Callithrix jacchus: one gene and its partners. Each later gene encodes a partner of the first gene's protein in a complex. Links are inferred from orthologs where the notes say so. Each region holds a gene or a part of one and is shown in the gene's direction. Other genes may lie near its edges. The genes, in order: DRC7, DRC4, DRC3, DRC8, DRC10, DRC1 and DRC5.

What was found.
Region 2: DRC7 (region 1) and DRC4 share a complex: the UniProt entries of both Homo sapiens proteins name them as parts of the nexin-dynein regulatory complex. The link is inferred for Callithrix jacchus from reciprocal best matches to the Homo sapiens genes DRC7 and DRC4.
Region 3: DRC7 (region 1) and DRC3 share a complex: the UniProt entries of both Homo sapiens proteins name them as parts of the nexin-dynein regulatory complex. The link is inferred for Callithrix jacchus from reciprocal best matches to the Homo sapiens genes DRC7 and DRC3.
Region 4: DRC7 (region 1) and DRC8 share a complex: the UniProt entries of both Homo sapiens proteins name them as parts of the nexin-dynein regulatory complex. The link is inferred for Callithrix jacchus from reciprocal best matches to the Homo sapiens genes DRC7 and DRC8.
Region 5: DRC7 (region 1) and DRC10 share a complex: the UniProt entries of both Homo sapiens proteins name them as parts of the nexin-dynein regulatory complex. The link is inferred for Callithrix jacchus from reciprocal best matches to the Homo sapiens genes DRC7 and DRC10.
Region 6: DRC7 (region 1) and DRC1 share a complex: the UniProt entries of both Homo sapiens proteins name them as parts of the nexin-dynein regulatory complex. The link is inferred for Callithrix jacchus from reciprocal best matches to the Homo sapiens genes DRC7 and DRC1.
Region 7: DRC7 (region 1) and DRC5 share a complex: the UniProt entries of both Homo sapiens proteins name them as parts of the nexin-dynein regulatory complex. The link is inferred for Callithrix jacchus from reciprocal best matches to the Homo sapiens genes DRC7 and DRC5.

What each region holds. Positions count from the first base shown.
Region 1 is NC_133521.1:15,604,513-15,608,366, forward strand, and holds part of DRC7 (dynein regulatory complex subunit 7), read left to right. Parts: intron 1-1,068; coding exon 1,069-1,141; intron 1,142-2,242; coding exon 2,243-2,371; intron 2,372-2,561; coding exon 2,562-2,690; intron 2,691-3,854. UniProt on the Homo sapiens protein: Component of the nexin-dynein regulatory complex (N-DRC) a key regulator of ciliary/flagellar motility which maintains the alignment and integrity of the distal axoneme and regulates microtubule sliding in motile axonemes.
Region 2 is NC_133521.1:47,664,846-47,668,699, forward strand, and holds part of DRC4 (dynein regulatory complex subunit 4), read left to right. Parts: intron 1-2,511; coding exon 2,512-2,709; intron 2,710-3,854. UniProt on the Homo sapiens protein: Component of the nexin-dynein regulatory complex (N-DRC), a key regulator of ciliary/flagellar motility which maintains the alignment and integrity of the distal axoneme and regulates microtubule sliding in motile axonemes.
Region 3 is NC_133506.1:69,175,890-69,179,743, reverse strand, and holds part of DRC3 (dynein regulatory complex subunit 3), read left to right. Parts: intron 1-2,683; 5' UTR 2,684-2,700; coding exon 2,701-2,860; intron 2,861-3,854. UniProt on the Homo sapiens protein: Component of the nexin-dynein regulatory complex (N-DRC) a key regulator of ciliary/flagellar motility which maintains the alignment and integrity of the distal axoneme and regulates microtubule sliding in motile axonemes.
Region 4 is NC_133520.1:41,228,127-41,232,763, reverse strand, and holds the start of DRC8 (dynein regulatory complex protein 8), read left to right. Parts: upstream 1-1,833; 5' UTR 1,834-1,834; coding exon of another isoform or gene 1,835-1,912; coding exon 1,913-1,937; coding exon of another isoform or gene 1,938-2,016; intron 2,017-2,017; coding exon of another isoform or gene 2,018-2,032; exon of another isoform or gene 2,033-2,123; intron 2,124-4,637. UniProt on the Homo sapiens protein: Component of the nexin-dynein regulatory complex (N-DRC), a key regulator of ciliary/flagellar motility which maintains the alignment and integrity of the distal axoneme and regulates microtubule sliding in motile axonemes.
Region 5 is NC_133510.1:116,196,855-116,201,304, reverse strand, and holds the start of DRC10 (dynein regulatory complex protein 10), read left to right. Parts: upstream 1-1,325; 5' UTR 1,326-1,366; intron 1,367-1,699; exon of another isoform or gene 1,700-1,723; intron 1,724-4,044; exon of another isoform or gene 4,045-4,183; intron 4,184-4,450. UniProt on the Homo sapiens protein: Component of the nexin-dynein regulatory complex (N-DRC), a key regulator of ciliary/flagellar motility which maintains the alignment and integrity of the distal axoneme and regulates microtubule sliding in motile axonemes.
Region 6 is NC_133515.1:88,557,814-88,561,667, reverse strand, and holds part of DRC1 (dynein regulatory complex protein 1), read left to right. Parts: intron 1-1,378; coding exon 1,379-1,513; intron 1,514-1,874; coding exon 1,875-2,107; intron 2,108-3,854. UniProt on the Homo sapiens protein: Component of the nexin-dynein regulatory complex (N-DRC) a key regulator of ciliary/flagellar motility which maintains the alignment and integrity of the distal axoneme and regulates microtubule sliding in motile axonemes.
Region 7 is NC_133505.1:52,760,554-52,764,944, reverse strand, and holds the start of DRC5 (dynein regulatory complex subunit 5), read left to right. Parts: upstream 1-1,566; 5' UTR 1,567-1,618; exon of another isoform or gene 1,619-2,130; intron 2,131-4,391. UniProt on the Homo sapiens protein: Component of the nexin-dynein regulatory complex (N-DRC) a key regulator of ciliary/flagellar motility which maintains the alignment and integrity of the distal axoneme and regulates microtubule sliding in motile axonemes.

The sequences.
Region 1 (3,854 bases):
CATGCCTGTAATCGCAACACCTGGGAGGCCAAAGTGGGTGTATCATTTGAGGTCAGGAGTTCGAGACCAGCCTGGGCAACATGGTGAGACCCCATCTCTACTAAAAATACAAAAATTAGCTGGGTGTGGTGGGGCATGCCTGTAATCCCAGCTACTCGGGAGGCTGAGGCAGGAGAATTGCTTGAACCTGGGAGAAGGAAGTTGCAGTGAGCTGAGATCAAGCTACTGTATTCCAGCCTGGGCAACAGAACAAGTCTCCATCTCAAATAATAATAATAATAAGAAGAAGAAGAAGAAGAAGCCAGGCATGGTGGCTCACACCTGTAATCCCAATACTTTGGGAGGCCAAAGTGGGTGGATCACAAGGTCAAGAGTTCAAGCCTGGCCAATATGGTGAAATCCTGTTTCTACTAAAAATACAAAAATTAGCCAGGCATGGTGGTGCACACCTGTAGTCCCAGCTAGCCAGGAGGCTGAGGCAAGAGAATCGCTTGAACCCAGGAGGCAGAGGTTTCAGTGAGCCAAGATCATGCCACTGCACTCCAGCCTGGGCAACAGAGCAAGACTCTGTCTCAAAATAATAATAATAATGATGACAATGATGATAATGATGATGTCAGCCAGGCAGAGTCCCAAGGCCTTTACAGACATTATATCATTTAATCCTTCTACAAGGTCCAGTTTACAGTTAAGGAAACTGAGGCTTAAAGCCGTTAAAGGACTTGCTTGGGCCCTTAGTTGATCTTGGAGAGAGGGTGGGGCTTGGGTGCCCTGACTCCAGGAACACCTCTCTAATAAGGAAGGGCCTGCAGCTGGGGCAGGGCAGGCCCAGCAGGCAGGGTGGGGTGCTGCTGTCCTAAGCCAGGCAGGTACAGAAACGGCTCCCTGCCCAGAGCCGGGAGTCCTCTTCTTCCACATCATGGGTGGTGCTTGTGACCTCTAATTCCCCTGGGGAGGCCAATGGATCACCTTGGCTTGGCTCTGTGGGCAGATATAGAGCTTTGACCATAACTTCTGCTTCAAGGCCCTGACCAGCACCACCTTCCCCACCCCCTTCTCTCCCATCAGGACAAGGAGGATGAGGATAAGAGCTTCGACATGCCCCACTCGTGGGTGGAGCAGATTGAGATCTCCCCGGAAGGTATTTGCTATTTGTGTGTTCACTTATCCTCTCCAGACCCAGTTCCTGGGCCTCCAGAGGTCTGTAGCAGCAGTGAGGGGGAGACAGCAGTGAGGCGGGGGACAGGTGTGTGCAGCAGCCAGGGGGAGGGTGCAGCAGTGAGGGAAAGACAGCAGTGAGGAGGGGGGCGGGTGTGTGCAGCATCGGGGGCTATGCAGCAGCAAGGGGGAAACAGCAGTGAGGCGGGGGCTGTACAGCAGCGGGGGGGGGTGCAGCAGTAAGTGGAGGGGGGCACAGCAGGGAATGCCCTACCCCACATTTCTTCTCTTCCCACCTTCAGCTGCACCCTGCCTCCTTCCTCCCTTCCTGCCACACACACTCAGCTCTGTGATCCCGAGGGCCTGAAACCAGTCTGGCACACAGGGCAATGGGGCTCAGTGAGCCTGTGTGGGATGATGGCATGTGGGTGGCAGCAAGGCCTGGGAACCCAGCCCGTTCCCCTCTCACACTCTTTTACCCAGAGGAGGCCATGGGTAGTGCCCAGATGGTGCAGGGGGGTCTCAGGACCGGAGAGGGGTAGGTAGAGAAGGCAGGAGGACAGGGACTGTCATGCTCCATGTTAATATCTGCTGGTGCCCACTTAGGAGCACCCAGACTTATGGGAACAGCCAGAGAGGGTGTCATGGGAACCCAGAGGAGGCACACCCAGTTCAGCACTGGGGCTAGGGCCTGGGGATGGGTGGGCAGAAAGGGGTACGAGAGTAGGCTAGGGGTCACTTGGGCTAAGTTTTGAATGCTCCGAAGGAGTCAGTCCAACCAGGGGAGGAGGGGATGATGGTGTTTCTGGTGGAGACCTGTACAGGCAAAGCCCAGCAGTGGGAGAGTGTGGTTGGCTGCGGTCCAGACCTTCTGATGGGGCTCAGATCCCTTTCTTGGGTGGATCTGTGCTTCTGCATGGCCTGAGAAGGCCGGTAACTATTCTCCTCGGCCTCCCTGGATTCAGCTTGGGGCTGGAGGAGGTCAGTACACATCGAACGGGCAGTGGGTGAATGAGTGGCTGGGTAGGGCTGGCCCCTCCCTCAGTGTGGGAAGGAGAGACCCCAGCTGACTCTGTGTCCAAAGCATTCGAGACCCGCTGCCCAAATGGGAAGAAGGTGATTCAGTACAAGAGGGCAAAGCTGGAGAAGTGGGCCCCGTACCTCAACCGCAACGGCCTTGTGAGCCGCCTCACCACCTACGAGGACCTGGAGTGTAAGGGGGATTGCTCTGGCCCAGGCCAGCCCAGGGTGGGGGGCCAGGCCAGCCCAGGGTGGGGGAAGCTTCTGCTCTCTCTGTGGGCATTGCTGGAGATTCCGTGTGCCTGGAATAAGTGGCGAGGGTGGGGGTGGGGTGAAGGCTAGGGGAGCTGGCCCGCTGCAGCAAGCGCCCATCGGCCCCATAGGTACCAATATCTTGGAGATAAAGGAGTGGTACCAGAACCGGGAGGACATGCTGGAGCTGAAACACATAAACAAGACCACAGACCTGAAGACAGACTACTTCAGGCCCGGCCACTCCCAGGCTCTTCGAGGTGCGTGGGTCCCCTTTCCTGGGCTGGCCCGGAGCCCAGGCTGGGGCCTGACACACCCTTTGGCAGCATACATCTTACACAGGGGTTCTTGGGCAGCAAGCAGTGGAAGCGCCCTGCCTCCCTCAGCAAAATCCAAGGAAACGTGACACATGCGCCTCAAACCAGGGCCACATGCCACTTCCGTGGTTGTAATCCGGCAGGAACCTTGCCATGAGGTCACACAGTGGAGGCCACATCTAAAGGAGGCAAGGCTGGGCACAGGGGCTCACACCTGTAATCCCAGCATGTTGGGAGGCCAATGTGGGCAGATTGGTTCAAGACCAGCCTGGGCTATATGGTGAAACCCCATCTCTACAAATACAAAAATACAAAAATTATCCAAGCATGATGGCACTGCTTATGATCTCAGCTACTCAGGAAAGTGAGGCAGGAGAATCACTTTAAGCCCAGGAAGTCAAAGCTACAGAGAGCCGAGATTATGCCACTGTGCTCCAGCCTGGGTGACACAGCGAGATCCTGTCTCAAGAAAAAAAAAAAATCCTGACCAAGAAATTTACAAAAGAAGCATAGCAGGGCTAGCATACATTTAAAAAATGATCAACCTCGGCCGGGCATGGTGGCTCATGCCTGTAATCCCAGCACTTTGGGAGGCCAAGGCAGGTGGATCACCTGAGGTCAGGAGTTCAAAACCAGCCTGGCCAAGGATCAACCTCATTTGGTAGCTGATGAAAAAAAATAAAACTAATAAGGTCCCTAACCAATAAAGGACCATCTTATAACCCTCTTGTTGACAAAGATGAAACAAAGGTCATACTGGGTATGAACAAGTATGGGAGCAACAGTCACTCTTTGTCACTGTTGATGGTACAGCAAATTGGACATTTTCTGGAGGGCCTTTGGGCAAAATATTGATAATGACCTTAAAACGTGTACACTTTTGACTGGGCATGGTGGCTCACACCTGTAATCCCAGCACTCTGGGAGGCCAAGGTGGGTGGATCACCTGAGGTCAGCAATTTGATACCAGCCTGACCAATATGGTGAAACTCCATCTCTACTAAAAATACAAAAATTAGCTAGGTGTGGTGGCGGGTGCCTGTAGTCCCAGCTACTTGGGAGGCTGAGACAGGAGAATTGCTTGAACTCAGGAGATGGAGATTGCAG
Region 2 (3,854 bases), about 32 Mb from region 1:
AGAGCTGGCTGTGGCTCAGTCCCGGGTGGGCACCACGCAGGGTCAGGTGGGCAGAGCCGGCTGTGGCCCAATCCTGGGGTGGGCACCACGCAGGGTTCCTGTATGAACCTCTCAGGTGGCTGCACCATTTGTCCATCTCACCATGTGGATCTATTCTTCTGTGCAAGCCAGAACCAGCACTCCAGCCTGGTCCATAATTCCCATCAGCTGCAAAGCTTTCACGTGGACTCTGTGTTTTCAAAAAGGCCATAGAGCCCATTATGGAATGTTTTAATAGGGCAGTAGGAATTTGGAAGGACAAGTTTTTCTGATTTAAAAGCTATTTTTGATTTTGAGTATTCTCTTCCAATCGACCCTTTCTTGCAGCTGTTGTGTATAGGCTTATCACAACACACACACACCGCATTCTCCTTTATTTTATTCACAGTTAAACATTATCTCAAAAAGCAAGGTTTTAAAAGAAACTTAAAATGTGAGTTACTTAAAATCACATCTCAGTCTGATTGATCATTCATTGTTTTTGATAAAAGTCCCATCAGGGCTGCCTTTTTCTTGGGTATGCTTATTTTGGGGAGGAGGTGATGTTTCTATAGTTTCTTTGTAGGAGTTATTTCAAGTCCATTCTTCATTTGGATGCAGTTAAGGGCTACAGAACATAATTATGTAATGACAATTTTACCTAAGAGGCTCCCGAAACCTGCAGGCTGTGGCAAGCCCAGTGCAGCCTCTAGCCTCTGCCCTGATGGATGACTGCCTCATGAGCCTCTGACCCAGGACGTGCGTGCTGTGTCAGCTCATGTGTTATTGTTAATCATTGTTACCTTTTTTTGGTAGTATTAAGATAAAAAATAAATATGAAGGAGACTAGAAGAGTCGTATGACCCGAAGTTGGAGCTGGGCAGAGGTCCTTGAAACGTGCTAAAGGACGTGTGTGTTTTACGTTCAGAGAAAGCACGGGCAGTTCAAGCCAGGGGCTGAGCGAAGAGGTGACGGGGCGAGGTTTGTGTTCTGGAAAGGTGTCTGGAGCCGCCGAATGGATTGAACGTTGCCTTGTCCTAGCATGTGAGCTGTTGCCGCCTCCCTGTTTGCTTCCCCTTCCTGTGGAGACAGGCCTTGCATGGCAGTGACTGTGCAGTCCACTGGGCAGGGCCTTGCGCTGCGCATGGCACACGGAGCCACAGACTCAGAAGACTTCTTCAGGATCCAGGCAGAGGGTAGGGCTGGAGGTGACCTGGACACGCCTGGCTGGAGGGGCCTGGGGCTGTGCCCAAAAAATAACTGATTCTTGCTCCCCAGAAAGCTGGAAGCCTGTCCTACATTTTTTTTAACCTATTTTCAGATTTGCAGTTGAACCCTCTTGAGGGTTAGGAGTCTGCTGGTCTTGCGTATTTTTTGCTTAACATTGTATCTTTAAAGATGATTTTTTTTTTCATTTAACATTACATGAATCTGTTTAAATGCTGCTACCTCATTTCTATATTTGTTTTTTGGGTAATATGATATTTCTCCCAGTTGATGTACTGTAAGTTTTCAACCATTGCTGTATTCATTTATTTATGTTTTAGAGACAGGGTCCTGCTCTGTCACCCAGGGTGGAGTGCAGTGGTGTGATCACGGCTCACTGCAGCCTCGAGCTCCCAGGTTCAAGCGATCGTCCTCCCCAAGTGTTCCCAGTAGCTGTGACTGTAGGCGTGTGCCACCACTCCGGGCTCATTTTTATTTTTCTGTTTTGTAGAGACAGGGTTTTGCCATGTTGCCTAGGCTGGTCAACTCCCAGGCTCAAAAGATCCTCCCGCTTTGGCCTCCCAAAATGCTGGGAGCCACCATGCCTGGCTGTTTATTTTTTGAGACGGAATCTCAGTCTGTCACCCAGGCTCGAGTGTAGTGGCTTTATTATGACTAACTGCAGCCTCTACCTTCTGGGCCTAAGTGACTCTCCAACCTCAGCTTTCCCAGTAGCTGAGACTACAGGCACGTGCCATGACGTCTGGCTAATTAAAAAAAATTTTTTTTTGCAGAGATGGGGTCTCGTTATGTTGCCTAAGCTGGCTTAAACTCCTGGGCTCAAGGGATCCTTCCACCTCGGCCTCCCAAAGTGCTGGGATTGCAGGCGAGAGCCAGTACCTCTTGCCCATTCCCTGTTTACATTGGTCTCAGATGGTTTCCTCTTTAATATTTTTGCTCTTGTAATAATGGTGTGGGTAATATCTTTCAGCAACAAGCTCTTATATTTCTTTCGAGAAATTTCTTAGGTATAAATTCTCAGAAATGGATGAAAGGATATAGTTATTTTATGTTTATTGGCCAAATTGAAGAGAATTCTGCCACTTGTTGAATGCATTCTGTCTCTGGAGCTTCCTAGCTTTATATCTTAACTTTTTATGTTCAGCTGTCTAATTTTAGGTGAAAACGGCTCCACCCTCTTCCTTCCTTGCCCTTCTCCGGCCATCTGCCCCTCTGCTATGCATGGGCCCCTGCCCAGTGCTCACCTGACCCACTGCACCTGGCCAGGTGGAGGAGCATTTGGGCCGTATCCGGGAGGAGCTGGACCGTGAGCGGGAGGAGCGCAACTACTTCCAGCTGGAGCGGGACAAGATCCACACCTTCTGGGAGATCACCCGGAGGCAGCTGGAGGAAAAGAAGGCTGAGCTTCGGAACAAGGATCGGGAGATGGAAGAGGCCGAGGAGAGGCACCAGGTGGAGATCAAGGTGAGTGAGGCCAGTCTGCCCGTGCCCACCTGGTCACCACACAGCCACAGAGGAACTGGGCCCAATGAGGGTGAGGCTGGGACACTGTCTGTCCTCGGCTTTGGGAGTCACAGCCCCAACGCTGTTTTTTATAAAAGAGGCTGAGGGAGAGACACTTCATCTCTCCAGTGTCATGAGAGACCCAGCAGGTCCTGAGGTTTAACATGCAGCCTCCACAACATGGAAGGAGCAAGGGCTTTGGGGACAGGCTGGCCTGTTTGCAACTCAGCTCTGCCCCTCAGCACCCTGTGAGCTGGGGATGCACCTCACCTCCCAGCCTTGGTGTCTGACTCTGCCTCAAGTGTGCAGGTTTGCTGAAGTGAACAGGCATGTGTGGCTGTGTGCAGGTGAGGAGTCATGCAAGGGAGCAGGTGGATGCAAGTGAGCAGGTGTGTACAGGTGAGGAGGTGGGTACAGGTGAGCAGATGGTGCAGGCGAGCAGGAGGATGCAAATGGGTGGGTGTGTGCAGGTGGTTAGATGGTGCATGTAAGCAGGTGGATGCAAATGAGTGGGTGTGTGCAGGTGAGGCATGGGCAGGTGAGGAGGTGTAGGCAGGTGAGCAGATGGTTCAGGTGAGCAGGTGTGTGCAGGTGAGGAGGTGTGGGCAGGTGAGGAGGTGTGGGCAGGTGAGGAGGTGTGGACAGGTGAGCAGATGGTGCAGGTGAACAGCTGGATGCAAGTGGGTAGGTGTGTGCAGGTGAGGAGGCATGGGCAGGTGAGCAGATGGCACAGGTAATACAGGTGAGGAGGTGATACAGGTCAGCAGGTGGGGTGGGTATGTGCAGATGAGGTGTGAGCAGGTGGGTGCAGGTAAGCAGGTGGGTGCAAGTGATCAGGTGCATACAGATGTGTACAGGTGGGCAGGTGGGTGCAAGTGACCACGTGTGTACAGATGTGTGTGGGTGAGGAAGCATGAAAGTGAGCAGAGGGTGCAGGTGAGCAAGAGGGTGCAAGTGACCAGGTATGTACAGGTGAGCAGGTGTGGTTAGGTGAGCAGGTGGGTGCAAGTGATCAGGTGTGTACAGGTGAGGTGTGGTGCAGGTGAGCAGGTGTGTATAGGTGAGGAGGTATGGTATAGGTGAGCAGGTGGGTGCAGGTGAGCAGG
Region 3 (3,854 bases), on another chromosome or scaffold:
GGGTAAAATCCATCTGTTTTATTGACAGCATGTAGCAGTTACTCAGTACACATGTATGGACTAAATACATGATCTCACACAAACGTAGGTGGGAGGAATTATCTGCCTTTTACTATGGGAAAGCCAAGGTTTAGATAGGTGAAGTGAGTTACCAAAAGATGCACAGTCAGGATCCAAATCCTGCCCTGATGTACTTAACAAATAGCATGTGTAATAACAACCCCATATTACCTAGCACAGCAATTGCTGGGCTTGACTGAAAGCAAGCTTGATCTGTCACGGGTACCAGGCCCTGATGAAGTAGGAGGGATAAGTTTTGAAATCAGAATTAAGAGTCACTTCCCAAAGTATAGCACCATTAAAAAAAAGAAGAGGCCAAACACTTTGCAGAAAACATCAGTCAAACATAACATATTAAAATTCCCCCAAAGACAAGCTGATGACAAGTTATGGGAAACCTTAGGGGAATCCATTGCATAAGAGTGGGGAGCTATGAGAAAGGCCAAGGGCTGGAACTGTCTTTGAGGGTGGAATCAGTCACCTCATTGAGGTGGAGCCCATGTAAACAGATTGGAGAGAGTGGGAAGAAAAGGACCAAGGTCTTGGGAGGACAGAAGGCACAGGTGGAGAAGGGGTAGGGGTTGAAGGGTGTGAAGGTTGTGCCTCTCCTAGGAGCAAAAGAGAAGCAAGAGCTCATAGGGACATCCAGTGAGGGACAGTTCAGGACAGAGGATGCGTATTTACAGAAGCTGCATCCAAATGGATGGTCGGGGAGGAAGGAGGAAGGCAGTCTTAGAGGGAAGTCTTTATTTAAGACCAGGTGACAGGATTGTATGGCCCAACCTGGCTTTCAGCGGACACCATCAGCCCTGCACTAGGAGTCTCTCTAGCCAAGTGGAATGAAAAGGAGAGCACAGGGGCTGCCTAGCATTGGGGACCAGCAGGGCAGAAGGACAGGAGGTTCAGGGAGGCCCATATGCTGGGGAGACACGAGGGACAGCAGGGAGGCAAGAATCAGAGGGAGAAAGCAGGGGGAAATGTCCCTCCTGGATGTCTTCACCAAGAGAGTTGGTAAGGATAAGAATGTGGTCCAGCCAGGAACAGCAGCCTCAGGTCAGCCTCGCAGTGTGACTGACCAAGTCTACAGATCCCCCTGTGCTGTGCTGTCTCAGCCAAATCCTTCTGGACTATTAGCGACAGAACCTACTGGAGGCTGGGCATAGTGGCTCACCCATATAATTCCAGCAGTTTGGGAGGCCAAGGTGGGTGGATCACCTGAGGTCAGGAGTTCATGACCAGCCTGGCCAACATGGTGAAACCTCATCTCTACTGAAAATACAAAAAAATTAGCCAGGCATGGTGACGGACACCTGTAATCCCAGCTACTGGGGAGGCTGAGGTAGGAAAATCTTTTGAACCCAGGAGGTGGAGGTTGCAGTGATTCGAGACTGTGCCATTGGACTCCAGCCTGGGTAACAAAAGTGAAACTCTGTCTCAAAAAAAAAAAGAAAAAAGAAAAAAAGAACCTACTGGAGCTAGCTTAAGTAAAAGAGGATTTCATGTGAGAAACAGGAAACTCTCATGAGGCATGGACTTAGGAATATTAGGGACTGGAAAGCCAGCAGGAAGGAGGCAGCCTCTGTCTGTGTCAGTCTGTCTGTCCTGTCTTTTGTTTTCTGGTTCCCAGTTTCCCATCTCTGCTTTTTTCCATGCATCTGCCTCCTCCCGCTCTTCCTCTCTGTTTAATCATGTGCCCAGTCAGCCCACACTCCCTATTCCTCCCCAGCTCAAGCGGCCAGCTCCAATGAGCACTCTCCTTCCACAGCCTCAAATTCACATCTGCCACGGGGAGGACGTGAATGGTCAGCTTGGGTCAGGGGCTCCCTCTGCACCAGGGAAAGCTTATGGTGTGGTAGGGGGCATACACACATAACTGCCTGGAGGGGGTGAGGTGCTCAAGGAAGAGGAGCTGCAGGCTGACCTGCCTGGCTGGGGATACTCAGGGAATACAGTCAGCAGTTGGTTCCCACAAGCCCAAATGAGGATGGGCACACAAAGTCAGAGGCCTGACACAGGGCCACAGTCTTAAGATGAGCCAAGATCACAGGCTAAGGAGACCAGTGTGGACACCAGTCCAGTGGGTCCAGGGACAGTCCCAGCTGTGGCTGTAGGGTCAAGGGATAAAACCCTGCGGACAAGCCCAGTGGGGGACAGGAAGCCCTGGAGTAGCCTTGGTGCAAATGTACAAACCCCGAGGTGCAGCAGGCCCAGGGTCAGAAGTGGGGCATTTTTCAGTATCAGTGGCCACAGCGACACCATAAGGGGAAACCTCAGCCACCTGCCCTCAAACAGAGAAAGAAGCAGGCTGTGGCCGGACACGGTGGCACATGCCTATAATCCCAGCACTTTGGGAGGCCAAGGTGGGCAGATCACCTGAAGTGAGGAGTTCAAGACCAGCCTGACCAACATGGTAAAACCCCGTCTCTACCAAAAATCCAAAAATTAGCCAGGCATGGTGGTACATGCCTGTAATCCCAGCTACTCGGGAGGCTGAGGCAGGAGAATTGCTGAACCCGGGAGGCAGAGGTTGCAGTGAACCAAGATCACACCATTGCACTAAAAAAAAAAAAAAAAAAAAAAAAAAATGAAGCAGACTGTGAAGGAGGAATGTGGTGTTTTTTAGGGAAAACATCGGGGAAAATGAACCGGCTATACGACTCGATGGAGCCAAGGGTGATAGACGATGACATGCTCAAGCTGGCTGTTGGGGAGCAGAGCTCCCAGGAGGAGACCGGGGAGCTTGCCAAGCAGGAGGGCATTCTCTTCAAGGATGTCCTGTCCCTGCAGCTGGACTTTCGGAGTATGTACCCAAGTTTCAGGGGTGGTGGCCAGAGTGGGGCCTCCCGGGCTTTCTCTGCTCTATCTTCAAGCTCCAGGATTCCATGCAAAGTCCATGGTGGAGGTTCCCACATCAGCATTAGGGCCTACCTGGGTTACAAGGCATAGGAGCAGCACAGATGTTTGTAAAGCTTCATTACTTAGTGTCTTCATCATTTCAATATCCACGACACTCCTGATTCTGCGTAAGAATAGAAAACAAGATAAAATTGTCCCACTCCAAATCTAAGTGAGCCACCAAGACTATGCTGTTTCCATCACACAACTCCATGTGGGTGTCCTTGGAGTGGGGGTCCCTGGCAGGCAGAGCCTAGGAAGTCCCATGTAGCCAGGAGCAGAGGGTAGGAAGTGTGGGAGAAGGAGGAAGAGCGGGCACTGAGAAAGCAGCTTCACGGAAGGGGTGACCAAAGACGGGCTGGTGGCAGGAGGGGCACAGGCCATGAGGCAGGGAGGCCCCTCAGGGGTGGGAAGATGTGGTTCAGGACCAGGTGGACCCTTACTGCTTCAATGTCCCATCTGTGAAATGGGATGACTGTCATCCCTGTCCCAAGCATTGGGCGGGGGGACAAGGAGAGACAGCACTTGCACAGTGCCTGGCTCACACAGGAAGGCCAGTAAGCTGCGGCACAGTAAGTCAAGGCAGAGGCAGTACTAGAGTACTGAGAGAGGTGGCCAGGGATCCTGAGACCCCCGCCTTGTATCAGGTGCAGGCAAGGCCACAGCAGACTGACCTTGTCTGATTCACATTCCTGCTCGGTCTTGGGGCCCCCAGGCTGGCCGGCATCCAGTCAACAACAAGAAAGTACTGAGACCCTGCCTCAGCCCAGCCCAGCTGCCAGAGCAGGGACATGACAGTGGGAAAGACAGGCATGGCCCAGGCACAGCCCCATGAAGCCCACAGGCCGCCAGGGCTGACCACCCAAGCAGGGAGGGCCCTGAGCCATAGCCCTAAAATG
Region 4 (4,637 bases), on another chromosome or scaffold:
ACAAAACAAAACAAAAACTAGCCAGGCATGGTGGTGAGCACCTCTTATCCCAGCTACTTGGGAGGCTGAGCTGGGAGGGTCACTTAAGACCAGGAGGCAGAAACTGCAGTGAGCAGATTGTACCACTGCACTCCATTCTGGGTGACAGAGTGAGACCCTGTCTCGAAAAACAAAAGACAAACAAAAACAAAAGGTCATCCCGCAGGACAACCAGGAGGGGACAATGTGTGTCTGTGGGAGGGTGAATGTTGGCAGGAGAAAGAGCAGGGAAAGGCATTCAAGAAAAAGGAAACTGTGACCAGCACAGGAAAAAGCATAGTGAATAGTAAGCCTGAGACCAACCTCAGGGTTTCCTACACTTCTTTCCAAGCCCTTCATTATGCATATGGAGAGAGGGAGTCTTTAAACACAAATATTTAGATCATATCAACTATGAGATTTAGATAAAGGAATGCTAATAATTACTTTTCATTATTTTTGGTGTGTTAAACATTTTTTGTACAAGACTGTATTCAACCATCTTCTAACAAAAGCCATTTTGTAATGATTCAGTTGTTTATATTCAATTTCTAACACGAGCCATTTTGCAATGATTCAGTTGTTTATATTCAGTTTCAACTCAATTCAATATTGAATTCATATTCTGTTCAAGTTATTCAATTTCAATTTGGTGCTGATCCAATGGGTATCTTCTACAGAAAAAGTACGTTAACAAAGAAAAATATAGTCAGTTTTAGGATTTGAGAGATTATAGAACCAGAATACAAGCATTCAAATTGTTCAGTCATTAAATACGAGTACCTTGTATTTTGAAGGCCTCTTTAAAGGTACAGTTAATAGTTTATAAATTGCTTTTACATAACATATGCACTGAAATACCCTTTAAGATTAGTTTTGAAAACAGGTATTCATTCGAACCACATCATTCGGTATTTTCTTCAAAGCTCTTTATAAAAGAAAAACGTTCTAGTAAACTTATCCTGAAAATAAGACAAAAATTTAACCTCATGCTATAGCTGCAAAGTTTCCTGAAAGCAGAATTTAAAACTTCCATTATAAGTTTAACCAGCGGTCCTGTTCAATTTCACCTGAGAACGTTTTACCGCATGTAATACTGAGCATAACACGGGCACGTTTTTGTTGCTATGAGAACCTTCTATTTTGATTAGAAATTGCAGCCTTGACGACGCAATGTTTGCGCCTATTTTGCGCATGTTTTTCTACAGCTATTTCTCTCCTCTAGTAATAGCAATCGAATGGCTCTGGCTTCCTCTTCCTCGGCCCAGTTTTTCCGTTTGAGCTTCAGCCGTCCTAGGCTGCGCTGTGGCTTTCTCCGGGAAAGGGCGGTGAGGACTGGCCGGGGGAAACCGGGAGGCAGGAGCGGCGTTTCTGCAGCAGCCGGGCCGCGGGCTGGTTCTGTCCCCGCCGTGGGAGCCCAGCTCTTCACCTACTCTCTGGCTGCTTTTCAAAATCTGCAGTTAACAACAGAAACCGAGCCACGCCACGTCGCACCAACAGGACCGGAGGGGGAGAGGGGTGTGTGTGCGCGCGCGTGCGGCCCCCAAAAGGATGAGAAATAAGGGACAGGAGGGGCTGGGGGCCGTGTGACTCAGGGACACTGCTAGGCCTCGGGTCCGCAGGGACAAGGCTGGGGGCCGGGTGGCGCGACGCGCGGGTGCCGCTGGCAGACGGCGCTTCTGGTCTTCCCGCTGCGCGAGGGTCGCGGCGGGAAGCCGGGACCGGGCGCGCGCTCCGAGCCTCCTCCCCGCCCCGGGCGCCCCGCCCCAGGGTCTTCCTCCCCCGCGATTCGGGGCGGCCCCTCCTCCCGGCCAGGTTGGCCGCGGGGCGCTAAGCCGGCCGGGACCCCGCGGCTGAGGTTGTCGTTAGGCATCTCCCAGGCGACCGTAGCAAGATGGCGGACGAGACGGACAGGGAAGGTAAGGCCGGGGAGCCGGGGAGCCGTTGCCCTCACCGCCCGCCGCGACCCCGGGCTGCTGGGCGCAGCGCCGGGTGGGGGTGGGCCCTCGTCCATCTGGAGTCCCCACCCGCAGGGACCGGGTGGCCTGAGGAGGGGCCCACCCAGCAGGGGCAGCCGCGCGGCCCCGTCTCCGCCGCTCCGCCCCGCCTCCTCCCTCCCCAGTCCCCCTTCTCTCCCCTCCCCCCTCCCCCCCTCTTCCCTCCTCCCTCCTCCCCCCTCCCTCCTCCTCCCGCCGCGTCCTTCTTCCCCTCCCTCGGAGGCCGGGCCTGGGCTCCGGCGCGGGCTGCAGCGGAGGCGCCGCCACGGGGCTGCTGATAATGGTGTCGTTGTTCAGTGCCGCGGGGAAGCAGCAGCCGCCTCCGCACCCTCCTGGGCTCTCGGTGCCGCAGGCGCCACGCCCTTAGCTGTCCAGGCTGTGGGCCCCGGGGGCGGCCGGGTGAGGACGCGTTCTGGCCGCCAGAATTTGGCGCGATCCTGTTGGCGCCGAAAACCCGCCCTGGCGCAGCCTGATGGCGTTCGCCGCCACCATTTTGCCTTCTTAATGAGGACGCGGGAGGACGGTCTGGAGGTCACAGCCGCTGCCTCCGAGCTTCTCCTGCCTCGGAAATGCCTGCCTTGCGGCCGGCCGGCGCCGAGCAACCGGCCTGGACTCTTAAAAAAAAAAAAAAAAACACACACAACAAAGACATACACCCAAACGGCAATGTTAATAAAGACGAAACACCAAAACCCCGCCGAGACCGCGGAGCCGCTGTACGCCGGGGGCGGGGGGGCCTCTCCCGCGGTCCCCGGGGACCCCCGGCCCCGCGCGGTGGCCGCCTGCAGAGGCGCTGTGCGCTTCGAGGCGTAAGGTCGCCAGATCAAGAGGCGTCAATGTGTTGCCTGCGCCGAGACGCCAAAAAGGGATGACGTTTCTTGGCCAGACCGTTCATGTTGTTTTCAATTCGTGGTATAATTTATGATGTGATCAAAACCCGATCCTCGGTTACCAAGACCTTAGGTTCTCAAGAATAATTGCGTTTGGTAGTTGGCAAAGTCACCAAGACAAAACAATGTCCCAAAACCCGTGAAACTGAACAACTACGAAGTGAAAATACATTCCCCCTTTGCTTGCCTTCTCGCATCCTCACAACGCCCTCTCGTGCCGTTTTTCTCCGCATGGAACCGAGTGTGGTCAGGTTCACAGCTAATAAACGAGCCCTGAGCTATTTAGTCACTTGTTAAGGTGATCACAGAAAATAGGCGGCGACATGAAACTGCCAGCGTCTGCCTATTGATAGCAAGAATCCTGTGATTTTATATGATATGAATCTGAGAAGCCGGGATTATTTTATAGGTATTACCGTGATGAAGATGCCCTTACATACACAGAAAAGGTTACTTTTAAGATTTCCCCAGAAAAATGAATAAATTATTTTTGTTCCTTATTAAAAAAAAAAAAAAAAAGGAAAACCATTAAGAGAGAGACTAGAAAAGTAATTATGGATATTTGTTTTCTTTTTTTTGACTTTTGGGGCCAAGTAGCCAGATACTTGTTTTCTTAAAAAACACTTGGTTAGGTCAGCATGAGACACAAACAGGAATATGGTACTAATACAGTATTTATCGTTTTTAAAAAATAGATTGAGAGCTTTCCTGGTTTTTCAACTTTTGAACAATATTTTTCTATTTAAGAAAAATTCAGAGATGCAATTCTGTCAACTCACAGAAGAAGTAATGACTATTAAAAGCTGGATGCCATTCATTCAGAATCCGTATATTTAATAACTTCATGTAGATAAGGCATTCTGCTTAGAACTCTGAAAGATACAAAAATGAAAAAGACATTGTCTTAGCTCCCAAGAAAGCTGAGCTCAGTAAGGGAGCTGAGATGCATACGAATGGGAGGGAATAGTTAACTGCGCTGCGTGGACTCCGTGCCAGCCACTGTGTTAGGTGTGTGTCTTTGTAGTCTGCGGACAGCAGCCTGGGCATTACTGGCTGCCCCCCACCAGTGAATCAGAGTCTTCATTTTAACGTATCTGTAGGTGATTTGTATGTACATTAAAGTTTGGGAAGTACTCATATGGCATATCTCATTTATGGTTTACAGTTTTATGAATTAACTAATTGCAGTTTGAAGGGTATGATGAACTAAAGGCATTTTGTCAGAGGATAAAATAAGTAAAGACTCACTTTGTTGATAAGACTTTTTATGGAAATAGTCCATTACTATATTTGATTTTCAGCTACTCTATTTTGAATTTTCATAAATTACATCTAGCCAATTAATCCGAATTAAGTTTTGAGGATTCACTCAGCTAAACTCATAAAAGACTGATGTGCAAACCTGAATGATTTATTAGTTTAAATAGTGGTATATACATTGACCTGAAGGCTGATTTTGGTAATGTAACATACTGTTTTATGGGTACTAAGCTTTGGGTAGTGTGAATTTATATTTCAGAAGTCATTTGATGACCATGGAATCACACAAAAGAGAGGATAATTTTGAAGGATATGTTCATTACCCTGTAAGTTCCAAAAGGTCAGCGACCATTTCTGATCTGTTAATGTTGAATATTGTGCAGAGTGCTTGGCACATGGTAGGTAATCAATACATATTTGTTGAATTCAGAACATTTGAATTAATCAAAGACAGCTTTTTTTTTTTTTTTTT
Region 5 (4,450 bases), on another chromosome or scaffold:
CCTGTATTCCCACTTTACAAATGAGGAAATTGAAGCTTGGAGTGATTAACTTGCCTCTTTTAAGTTTCAATACAGGCAGTCCGAATTCAGGAACTCTCCCTGCTTAACCATTACTCTATATACACCTACGACTAGAACCAGTCCCCCGATTTTTGAATTCAAACACATCATTTTTCCAGGGAGACTAAAATGAGGCCCAGAGAGGGGAAGAGACTTGCCCAAGGTCACACAGTGCAGAAGCAGGGCTAGAACCCGGGACTCCTGAGTCCCGGTCCAGTGTTCCCTTCGCGGGCTTTGCTTCCGGCTCTAGAGAGAACCCAAATGGCCAACCCTGGGGAAAGGGCCCAGGGGAAGAGAGGGCCAGCTGCCATCCCGCTGTCCGCTGGGGCAGCTGACCCGGGCACTAGACTCCTGCGGGGTCACCTGAGGGCGCCAGGGAGAAGGGCGAGGGAGGGAGGAAGGAGGAGGCAGGAGCGCCGGCTCCAGCTCCACGTGCTCCCACACCCTGGCTGGACGCCCACGTGAGGGTCGTCCCAAGAAGTTCGGGGCGAAGAAAGTGGGTGCAAAGCCCCCGCCCGGGCTGGACGGAGAGAAGAGCGCCGAAGCCTTCCCCGCGGCCCCTCCGGGCCCTTCCAGCCCACCTCCCACACCAGAGTGCCGCTCCACAACCCCTTACTCCGAGCCCTCTGACCCCTGGTCCCTGCCCTCTCCCTCGGGCCAAGCCCTCGCATCCCTCGGATTCTTACACGCGCCGCCCCAGCAACCCGAACCATGCGCCGGGGTCCGCACCGCGCAGCCCAGCCCTCCGGCGCCGCCGCCAAAACCCCGAGCCCGAAGCTGTTGCAGCAGCCGCAGCTGCACCTACTTCAGCCACTGCCACCACGGCAGCTGCGCCAGCTCTCCCATCCGCCGCCTACCGTCCTCTCAACCCCGCTGGCTCCGCCCCTTTCCCCTTGACAGCGACCTACTGGCTAACTGGGATACCATGATGAGTTCTGATTGGTCATATCTCACGTCCTTCCGCAGGTCTCGCCCGCTGCCGATGCAGTACTCCCTGCCCGCCTCCTTAAGAAGGGGCGGGACGAATAATCCACGCCCCTTTCTCCTCCCATCTGCCCCGCCTTACTCTTTGAGGGCAACCCAGAGGGAGTCCCCAGTCTTTCCATTGGTGAAAGGTCAAAATGATGGTGCTTCTGATTGGTCAGGCTTCAGGAGGTGGGGACAACTGAGCGGAACAAGGAATTGAGTGGTGAAAAGAAAGGTCAGTCAGACGCCAAGTCCCGCCTTCTGAGATTGGCAAGTAACCTAGCAACGCAGGGACCGCTGCGATAACTGTGGCTAGGGAAACCTGGAGCCTTCAGTGCAGGTGAGTAACCAGGTAGGGAAGGGTCGCGGATCGGGGGAGATGTGGAATGGGCTTCAGCTCGCTGCCCTTTGGCTCCCTGAGGAATCAGTGGCCCTCGCTGCGATCCCGTCTCAGCTTCAGGACCCTGTTCCTCGGCCCCAGCCTAAGTCTAAACCTCTCACTCCACAGCCTGCAGGGAGCCGGCCTCCATTCTGCCCTTTCTTCCAGCCCACTTCAAGGCCCCACTCCCCCATCCCTAAAACGAGGAGGACACCAGTCCAGCAGAGTCACATCGTAGTTAACTTATTTCAAATCAAACAAGTTGGAGGGAAGTTTCTAAGTCCCCTGCCATTCCACCCAACGGCCATACGTTCCTCGGTGAGCATGCATCTCAATTCAGTGTTTAAATCAGGTTTTGTGTTGTTTTTGGCGGAGCGCGGTGGCTCACGCCTGTAATTCCAGCACTTTGTGAGGCTGAGGCGGGCGGATCCCTTGAGGTCAGGAGCTCGAGACCAGCCTGGCCAATATGGTGAAACCCCATCTCTACTGAAAATCCAAAAATTAGCTGGGCGTGGTGGCACACCTGTAATCCTAGTTACACGGGAGGCTGAGGCACGAGAATCGCTTAAACCCGGGAGACCAAGGTTGCAGTGAGCCGAGATCGTGCCATCGCACTCCAGCCTGGGCGACAGAGCGGGACTCCGTCTCATAAATAAATAAATATATAAAGTAATTTTTATTATACCACTTTTACCTTTTGTCCTAACTTTGTAATTTAACTCCCCATTCTGGTCCTTAAGATGTGATCTCAGCCCGGCGTGGTGGCTCACGCCTGTAATCCCAGCACTTTGGGAGGTCCAGGTGGGCGGATCATGAGGTCAGGAGATCGATACCATTCCGGCCAACATGGTGACACCCCGTCTCTACTAAAAATAAGAAAATTAGCTGGGCATGCTGGCAGGCCCCTGTAATCCCAGATACTTAAGGGGCTGAGGCAGGAAAATCACTTGAACTTGGGAGGTGGAGGTTGTGGTGAGCCAAGATCACACCACTAACACTCCAGTCTGGAAGAGAGTGAGACCCTGTCTCAAAAATAAATAAACTAACATATAACCTAGCAATTCCACTCAGGAATGTGTTGAGAAATGCTGACTGTATGATAAATATATTGTTTGCTAAGAAGAATGATGGCAAGGAAAACCTAGCCGTGCCCCCCCCCCAAGTGGAAAACTACTTGGGGCACTCTAAAGTAGCAAGACAGTATTTGTATATCATACACCACTTAAAATAAATCTTTAAGCGCGAGAGAGGTGACCCTGCCCCTGTGGCTCCCTCGTAGAGGATGCTTTCTGGTTTGTCTGTGATCAGTGGTGAGCAGGCACCAGGTGCCTACCTACTTTATTTTTGTTCTATGAGAAAACACAGAACACCTGTTTGTTAATAATAATCACCTATTCAGAGAGAATAACTATGTGAGTCAGAATCTGCTTGAGGCCCTCAGCCTGGAATGCTGTCAGCACCTGAGGTTCTCAGCTCTGAAAGCTGTTGGTCCCAGGATAGTCCCACTTTGCTGTTCTTTCTGGGTGTCTGCTTCTTAATGCCTTTAGCACTGCCTGGGTGGGGGTCTGTATGGCCACGCTGGTCTCTGTAGGAATGTACCCCCACCAAGTGAAAACATATGTTCCCAGAAAGACTCAAATATAAATGTTCTTAGCAACATCACCCTTAGTAGCCCCAAACTGGAAACAAACCAAATGTCATCAACAGGTGAATGGATAAACAACTTGTGTTATTTCCATAGAATGGAATATTATTCAGCAATAAAATACCATTCAGGAACAAAATACTAATTATTGCTGTAACCTGGATGAACCTGAAAACATGTTAAGTTAAGGGTTTTTGGCCCAGTGGCTCACGTCTGTAATCCCAACAATTTGGGAGGCCAAGGCAAGAGGATTGTTTGAGCCTAGGAGTTTGAGATCAGCCTGACAACAAAGTGAGACCCCCTCTTTACAAAAAATACAAATATTAACTGGATGTGGTAGCATGTGCCTGTAGTCTCAACTATTCAGGAGGCTGAGGTGGGCAGATCACCTGAGCCCAGGGAGGTCAAGGCTGCAGTGAACCATGATTGCACCACTGCACTCCAGCCTGGGTGACAGAGTAAGACCCTATCTTTGGAAAAAGCAAAAGTCAAGATTTTTCAACCTTAGCTCTGTTGACATTTTGAGCACAATAATTCTTTGTTGCGGGGGACTATCCTGCCAATTGTAAGATGTTTAGCAATAACACGAACCTCTACCCACAAGATGCCAGTAGTAGCCTCTCTCAGTTGTAATAAGCAAGTGCATTTCCTGATTATTGCCAAAAGTCTTCTGGGGGCAAAGTGGCCCCAGGTTGAAAACCACTGTGCTAAGCAAAAAGTTAGATGCCAACGATTACGTCCTGCATGATCCCATTTCTGTGAACTATCCAGGAAAGTTAAATGTGAGTAGAGGCCAGGGTCCGTGGCTCATGCCTATAATCCCAGTATTTTGGGAGGCCAAGGCAGGTGGATCACTTGAGCCCAGCAATTTGAGACCAGTCTGGGCAACATGGTGAAATCCCGTCTCTTCTAAAAACACAAAAATTAGCAAATCCTGTCTCTCCTAAAAACACAAAAATTAGCCAGGCATGGTGGTACACCCCTGTGATTCCAGCTACTCAGGAGACTGAGGTATGAGAATTCCTTGAACCTCACAGCAGAGGTTACGGTGAGCCTAGATCGCGCCACTGCACGCCAGCGTGGGTGACAGAGTGAGACTGAATCTCAAAAACAGAACAACTACAACAAAAAATGTGAGTGGAAACAGATTGTTTGCAGATTCGCTCATGGGAGTTTGGGGGAGTGAGAGAAATGTTCTAAAACTGGGGTGTAGTGTTGTGGCAACTTTAGATACATTTACAAAAATAGTCATTGACTTTTACACTTACAGGGGGTGAATTTTATGGTAACGTAAATTATACCTCAGTAGAGCTGTAAAAAAAAATTACCCATGTGATTAGTACTATGCAGGAAAGGTAAGTGTTTCCACAGGTTGTAAAGGGCTATTTGTTCCAGTGTGA
Region 6 (3,854 bases), on another chromosome or scaffold:
CCCTATTGCTTGAAACGTCTCACATGTCCTGTCCTTCCTCCTTGTCTCCTTACTTCCATCCTTCCTGCCTTTCTTCCTTTAAGAATTGCATTCTAAGTTCCAGACCACTGCGCTAGGCTCTGAGGACCAGAGTGGAAGAAGACTTCTTATTAGTAGCAGACAAGATTGAAGGTTTTTCTCCAAACCCCGAATAGCCTATTATTATTTATGAATTCTTCCACTTGTAGGTTGATAATAATACATTTTGGACACATATTGAATGTATAGAGGAACACCAGTTGACCTTTTGATAGTGACTTATCACAGAAAATGATACTGAGTAAATGGTATGTCATCTTAAGCCTGATTATCTGAGAAACAAGAATAGTCAGGGGACGATATTTATGAAAAAACATCCCCCTATATATGCACCATACCAGATAGAGGAACATCCAGGAAAGGCACACATCAATACAGCAAGGAGGCACCTGGGAAACCTTCCCAAAGAAGTGAAATATTGCAAGGGGGTGGGGACAGGAATTGGCAAAAGGCAGTTAAGAGGAGACTCCAGGGGGCCAGTGCTGGTAGCTGGAGTGGCTGGTCTGAAGGCAAAGAGGTAGGAATCAGAAGGTCACACAGCAGGTGAAGAAAATGGGGAGGGCGGGAGGCGGGAGGAGGTGCTTGAGGCAGAGCTTGGGTTTGATGCACGTGGCTGAGATGAGTGGGATCTTCCCTCTTAGTTCAGATTCAGACAGCTTTCCCTCAGCCCGAAAAACCCTTCAGCAGCCCCTGCAGTTTCTGAGCACTACCTTTTTGTCTCTTGCTCCTTTCCTCATCACTTATCACCCAACATTTCATAATTTGACATATCCGTTTGTGCTGCTATAACAGACTCCCTGAGCCTGGACAGTTTACAAAGACAAAAGTTTATTTCTCACAGATCTGGGAGCCTGGGAAGGCCAAGATCAAGACTAGCAGGTTCAGTTTCTAGTCAGGGCTGCATCTTTCAGAGGGGAGGAACGCTGTGTCCTCACACAGCAGAAGAGTGGGAAAGCAAGCTGGCCAAAGGTTTTGGGAGGCCTCTTTTTCTTTTTTGAGATGGAGTCTCACTCTGTTGCCAGGCTGGAGTGCAGTGGTGCAATCTCGGTTCACTGCAACCTCTGCCTCTTGGGTTCAAGCGATTCTCCTGCATCAGCCTGCCGAGAAGCTGGGACAGGTGTGCGCCACCATGCCAAGCTAATTTTTGTATTTTTAGTAGAGACGGGGATTCACCATGTTGGCCAGGCAGGTCCCGAACTCCCGACCTCTCATTCCACCTGACTTGATCTCCCAAAGTGCTGGGATTCCAGGCATGAGCCGCTGTGCCTAGCCACAAACTTTGTTTTTTTCCTTCAACCAGCCTGCAGGATACACTTAACAATCTGAGATCAAAATATGCCAAGCAAATAAAGCAGCTCCAGGAGGAGAACCAGTCTCTAACCTTGGAGTACAAACGTCTCATGACGCAGTTCAAGGAGCTACAGAAAGCCGTGAGGTATCTGAAGGACCTGGTCCTATGGCACTTGTGCCAGTGTCGAGGTGGCAGGGGCGGAGTTCGTATATAGGCTGTGATTTCACTGGACTTGAAATCGTCGGCTATTTTGGAGCCGGACCAGGCACTAGTTAACCCTCTGTGCTGTGTTCCCTTGGCCCTTTACTTGTGTGTCACCTGCCTTTTCTTGAGGTATGTTGGGATGGCTTCTAGTTTATCGTAAGTGGGAATCAGCTGCCCAGGGATGGGGCCAAGCCTGGGAATTAGCACAGCTCTTTTGCATGTTCTTGCCCTGCTGCCAGTTGAGGGGACCCCGGCCAGGCCCTGGGGTCAGCTGGCCATGCTCCGTGACTCTTCTTCACAGGCATTTTGCTCTCATCGATGATGAAAAGTTTCGGGAGATTTGGCTGATGAATGAGGAGGAGGCGAAGGACCTAATAGCCAGAGCTTTTGATGTAGACAGGATCATCCACACCCATCACCTGGGGCTCCCCTGGACAGCACCTGATTTCTGGTTCCTGAAGAACGTGGGGCCTATTTCTCAGCAGCCCCAGAAGTCCACCACGCAGATAGTAGAAGAAATGCTTCTGCGCACAGGTGACGAGAACACTGTCATAGAGCCGCCCTCTGTGAACGTCGGGTCAACCCCGTCATGTTAGAGACAGTCTAGGGAGGAGGGGAAGAGCTCCCATAGCTAGGAGGTAGGAGAGTATGATTATGATGTACCTTTTAAGTCTTCTCCAATCTATAGCTTTTTTCTCTCCCCTGTATTAGAAACTGGTAGTCAGGTCTAGAAACTTGATCAGATGCAGGTCCAATTTATTTTGCTAAATACACTATTGTGTAGTACCACCACTGGGATAAACTGATGTTAAGTTGTCTCTCTTTGTGTGATATTAGCAATCATTGCCATTCATTGTCTGAGATCTATTAACTTTATTAGGGATTGGAGAATGGTGATGTTTTAAATTCTATTCTTGTGTCTTTATTTAATATTTAGAATACTTCTTAAAAGAAAATCTTTCCTTCATTAGCAACTTGCTACCCTGAGATAGTCTGTATAAGAAAAGCAGGATAGATGCTTATTTTTTCTGTTTACCAGTTTTCAAAACAATGGATTGGGTCTCTAGCATCTTCCAAAGGTACCAATGAGTTTTTAAAAAATATTATGAATGCATGAGTTTATACAGATTTGATGTATTTTAGTTTACTAAAGTAATTATCCTTATTGAGGCTGAAATTGTTTCATCTTCGGCCAGTGGAAGCTTCATACTGGCTTCTGGGTCCTTTTGATTCAGCCCTAGTAGTTTTTAACAGCATCCTGGCTTTCCGGGATGACCAGGTGTTCCAGGCATGCCTTATACTTGGAGTCAGCCATTTCTCCAAGGGAACCCTGGTCCTTTTCAACAGGGAATTTTTTTTTTTTGAGATGGTCTCACTCTGTCACCCAGGCTGGAGTACAGCGGTGGAATCTTAGCTCACCGCAACCTCCGCCTCCCAGTCTTCAGCGATCCTCCCACCTCTGCCTCCCGAGTAGCTAGGACCAAAGATTCATGCCACCATGCCCAGCTAGTTCTTGTATTTTCTGTAGAGGCAGGGATTTGCCATGTTGCCCACGCTGATCTCAAACACCTGGGCCAAACGATTCCTTCCCAGAGTGCTGGGATTACAGGCGTGAAACCACCATGCCTACCCAGGGAGCGGTATTTTGAAACCATGCTCTGGGTGCTGGGTACTTATTCCTTTGGGTTGGCCATTGTTTTTAGGACTTTTCAGTGGACAGAGCTGAGTATAGGATTTTTTTTAGTAATAAAATAAATCATGAGTTCATCCTAAATCCTCCTCATCAACAGTATGCCAGAGTTTTTACTTAACAGTATGAAAGTTTATCCACTTTCTTCCAACTTGAAATTCTTAGTGCTCAATGACTTCAAAATAAAGAATCACATGCATTCCTCACAGCACCACAGAGCTGTCTCGGTTGAAAATATCAGCCCTAACACCAACAAATGATTACTAAAGACAGCTCACACTTTTCTATGGTTCTTTTTGTTCTTAAAGTGTGTCCCTCCAGGGGTATACAGACAGATTGCTATGTTTTAAAGTCACTTGGGGCCAGGCACGGTGGCTCATACCTGTAATCCTAGCACCTTGGGAGGCTGAGGTGGGCACATCACTTGAGGTCAGGAGTTTGAAACCAGCCTGGCCAACGTGGCAAAACCCCATCTCTACTAAAAATACAAAATTAGTCAGGTATGGTGGCACATGCCTCTAATCCCAGCTACTCAGGAGGCTGATGAGGGGAATTGCTTGAACCCGGGAGGCAGAGGTTGTAGTGAGCCAA
Region 7 (4,391 bases), on another chromosome or scaffold:
GTGATCGGGTCTGGGGGGAAAATACAGATTGGAGATGAGGAGTGTGGATGGTGGTACCTCCCTCACCAAGAGGCAGCATGTGAGCAGGGAACTGGGAGGTGAGAGTGTGCGCCATGTGGAAATCTAAGGGAAAAGCATTCCAGGCTGAGGGAACAGCCAATTTGGAGACTGTGAGGTGGCCAGTGCCACTGAGCAGTCAGCTGGGATAGGAGCCGGTGATGAGGTTGGAGATCGGGGTCAGACAAGCAATATGCTGATTAAAACAAGTTGTACAGCACCTGCCTCAAGCCTGAGCTGAAGCTGAAAATTTGCAGCTCAAAGCAAGAGGAAGCCAAGAGATGGAGGGGAGCCCTCCTTCCCTATCAGAATGAGTCCACCTCAGACAGCCAGACCTCTGCCTGTTGGACCTCTGCCTCTGTTCCTAGATCTCTGTTGCTAGATGCAGGAAAAGGCCTCAGGGGACCCATCTTCAAATCAAGGGCTCCCTGGCTACCAAGTTCTGTCTAGTAAAAATTATTTGAGCAGCGTGGGCCCGCCTGGCATCATTTTCTGCACAGTTTCTCATTCTAATTAAGGCACCAATGATTTGCTGGTAAGGCACCGGTGAGGGCTTGAAGGGACCCAATCCCAGTGCCTGGCCCCTCACTGCTTTTAAAGCATCCTGGCCACTAGAGTAGTAGCCACTGTTCGGCAGTGTTCACCACAGGCCCAGCTCCAAGCTCTGCCGGCACCAAGATGAGTTGTAGCACCCCTGATTTATTGATGAGTTAACAGAGCTTCAAGGTATTCGGCCAGGGTAACCAACTAATAGTCCTCAGCAGAACTGAAATCAAAGCTACCCTTTGAAACCCCCACCTCATTGGCTGCCTCTCCCTTCCTGAAAGCCAGTTTCTTTTTTTTACTAACCATCCCTCTGAAGTCTGTCCCTCTTGCCCTCCAAGAGATCAGGGGCTCCCACCACATCCTGTCGCACCAGGGCCGGAAGGGGGTTTGGCACAGGACATGGGCTGTGTGAAGGAGCACCCTGTTGGCCTTCCTGCATCTAGTGCCAGACATCAGCTGAGAGAAAGGTAGAAGGTGCCCTCCCGCAGGGCCTAAGGTCACCAGGAGACCTCAGGGGAGTTCCATTGACTTCCACAGTTGCCCGGGAGAAAGGTCCGTCCACCCTCATCTTCCACAGACGCTTTTCCTGGACCAACTCCCCACCCCCAGCTCCCTATCCATTGCCACACAAAAGCTACCAAGAGAGCACAAGCACTCCAGGCCAGCAGCCCTGCCCGGGGTCTCCTACCTCCAGCCCCCTAGAAAGTCCACCCGTTCCTAGACACGTCCCACGGAAGCACAGGGCATAGCGCAAGGCCACAGTCCCACGACCCCCAAAGCGGCCGCTTCCACTGAACCTTCCCGAGGCATGGCCTGGGCGCCGTGAGCGCGAATGAGGCGCGTGCCAGGTGCGCAGCGACAGCTGAGGAAGCAGTAGCGTCCCCTCCTCCGAGGCGCGGCGCATTCGCCCTCTCCGCCCGGCCCGCCCCTAGCGACGCGGGGCGTCCCCAACGACGGTGACCCGCACTGGCTCGCGGGACTTTGCGTGAGGCCAGCGCCCGGGCTCCCGGAGCGGGTGAGACGACCTCCGGGAGCGGGGACACCCAGCCCTGGTCTCCCTTATCGGGGTTCACTCAGTCCGGCAGGGCCTCGGAGCCCCTCCAGCGTCCTCGGTCACACCGGCCCGAAGCCTGCAGGCGGCCATTGCCTGGGTTCCGTTACCCGTTGGGGGAAGAGCCAGCCAGTCCATACCCACGGGAGACCCCACGCTCTCCACGCGAGGATGCCCCGTGCCTCTCCTCACCACAGTCACTGCAAACCGTGTGCGCCGGGGCTTGGGATCCGAGTGAGGCAGGGGAAGGATCGTGGGAAGGAAGTGGGGGTGGAAAGTGGGGCATCGGTAGGGCGTGGTGGAGAGCGGCCCTAAGCCCTGGGGCCCCAGACTTCTCCGAAAGGCGGTCCCTGTCCCCAGCACCCGAGGGCTGCAGTCCCTCCCGCGGGTCCAGAAGCTTCCGCATCTCCCTCCCTCCCACGGCACTGCCGGTTTCCCTGGGTTACCAAGGAGAAGCCAGCACCTCTACACCCCAGGTAGGATGCGGGAGGGACCCCGTGGCCTTTGGAGCTGAGCTTCCCTGCTGGGGTGTCTGAGCTGAAGGTAGGGAGGAGAAGTGGGGAACAGAGAGGCTGGAGTCCCTTTTGAGACAGCAGACCTCAGTGAACAGCAGCCGGGAGGAGGCCAGCCCAGGGATCGTGGCCAGTGAGCTGGCGGTTTCACCCAGCCCAAGTCCAATCACTCGCCGAGCTCTGTTGGAGAAACTTTTTTGCCCTTCCACAAATAGAATTCCCAACTTGGGAGTGACTTGCCCCAAAGTAAGACATGGTGGGCATGAAAGAGATGGAGGCGGGTGTAGACAAAAGCCCAAAGCCCTGAGGACAGAGGGGGCTCTCCTGCGGGGATCTGGGGTGGGAGCAACTGAGAAGGCAGAGAAGGCAGGCAGAGCAGTGGGTGCAGAGCCAGCTCCTGGGAAGGTATCCCAGGCACAGAGGCGCTGTCATCGCAAAGAGGGCTGGGTGTCTCCACTTTTTGGATAAGAGGAAGGGAGGAGGGGACAGTTGAGGACCAGGACTGTGATGCACAAGAAGGTGAGAACGCTCTCCTACAGCATCTTCCTCGTGTTCCCATTAGGGCAGAATAAGGAACTCCTGCCCAGAGTGGTTAGATTTATCTGGGGATGGGGGAAGGATGGAGAAGGCCCAAGACTTCCTGTGGAGGGAATGGGCCAGGGTGGGAGAGCACCACTCTGCAGCACTCTGTTGGGCTCCTTGGGCCCTCCAAAGCTTGCAGGCAATGGTCCAGCCTTGCGGAAGACTCCTGTGCCCAGCAGTGAACTGGGCGAGGGAGCCTGGACTATTCAGGTCAGCACCAAGGGGGTAACCCTGGGCTCCATGCTGGTGAACAAGAGATCTCATGAGCTGGAGAAAATGAGAGACCCACTGGAAAGTGCTGTGAGTGACTGAGTTGGGAGCAATTTATAAGCAACCCCAGCATCTGTCTAGTGGAAGTAAGAGAGCATTAGACAGACACAAACTAAAACCTCAGCTTCTCCATTTACTAGCTAGTGACATTTAGTAAGTTACTTAAGCTTTCTAAGTTTCAGTTTCCTCATTTGTGAAATGGGGACAATAGTGTTAAATAATAATCCTGAATAATACATTTAAGAATTTGATAAAATTATGTTAGGCATGTAGCACCTTCATTATAACTTCTAACACCCATCTTGACTGCTGGCTCTGGGCCCAGCACTATATGAAATGGCTCACACACATTAGCTCCTTAATCCTCTATGTAAGCCTATGAAATCGGTACTATTAAGTACTGTCCCCATGTTATAGATGAAGAAACTGAGGCAAGCAGGGACCTGCCTGAGGATGCGCAGATAGTGTGGGGGCACAGTAGAGATTTGATTTGAGACAGCACAAGTCCTGAGTACTTAGTCAGCTGCTGTCCTGCCTCCTGCTATGCACATGCTATTGAAGTCCTAGAGCTCTCAATAAATCATAGCTATATATAGCCAAGGGTATGGTTCCCAGAACACCTGTCCACCAGATTCAAGCCATCAGAAATGAGGACAACCCTGGCCGAACTGGAGCATCTTGTCACTTTCTATTACCTGTGCTTGGGCATGGAGAGAGCAGTCCCTCACACCCTTTGAGTTATGGCCTGATGTGGACGTCGTTCCCTGTATGTGATTTCAGGACCCTGGACCCTGGTCCTGAGGATACAGAGTAGGGGCCCAGAGCATGAGGACCGGCCTTTCCCTAGGGACTGTGGTCCCGGGTTAGAGATACAGCCATGTGAAGCCAAACAGGCTCATGAGGCAGGCCCCAGAGAAGTGAAAGTCCACTGCATGTGTCCCACTCTCCCACTTTCCCACTCTGAGAGCACAGCACACCCTTGGATGGGACACCAGATGGTGGCACAATATATACCTACTCCTGGTAGCCCTGACCTCTCTGGATTGTCAGGATTCCTGCCCTGGAGAAGAACTGGAGTCTTGAACATGCTCCTAGTCTTAAAACTCTGGGATTCTCTGACTTACCCAACAGGCTTTCCAGGGAAAGAAAGCTCCAGAGAGGAAGGTGACTCTTCATCCACCTCCAGGACTGCCCTCTGTGGGTGCCTGGGGACTATGTGCCCCAAGCCCTCAGCTATTGCGTATCCACCCATCCCTCCAGGCTCCCAGGGAAAATAGTGCCACCTACTATCACCCTCAGCTGCAGGCTGGTGACTGCCAGACCAGACTAAGGCTAACCTGTGAAGCAGGCAGAACTCTCTCAGCCTCCTATCT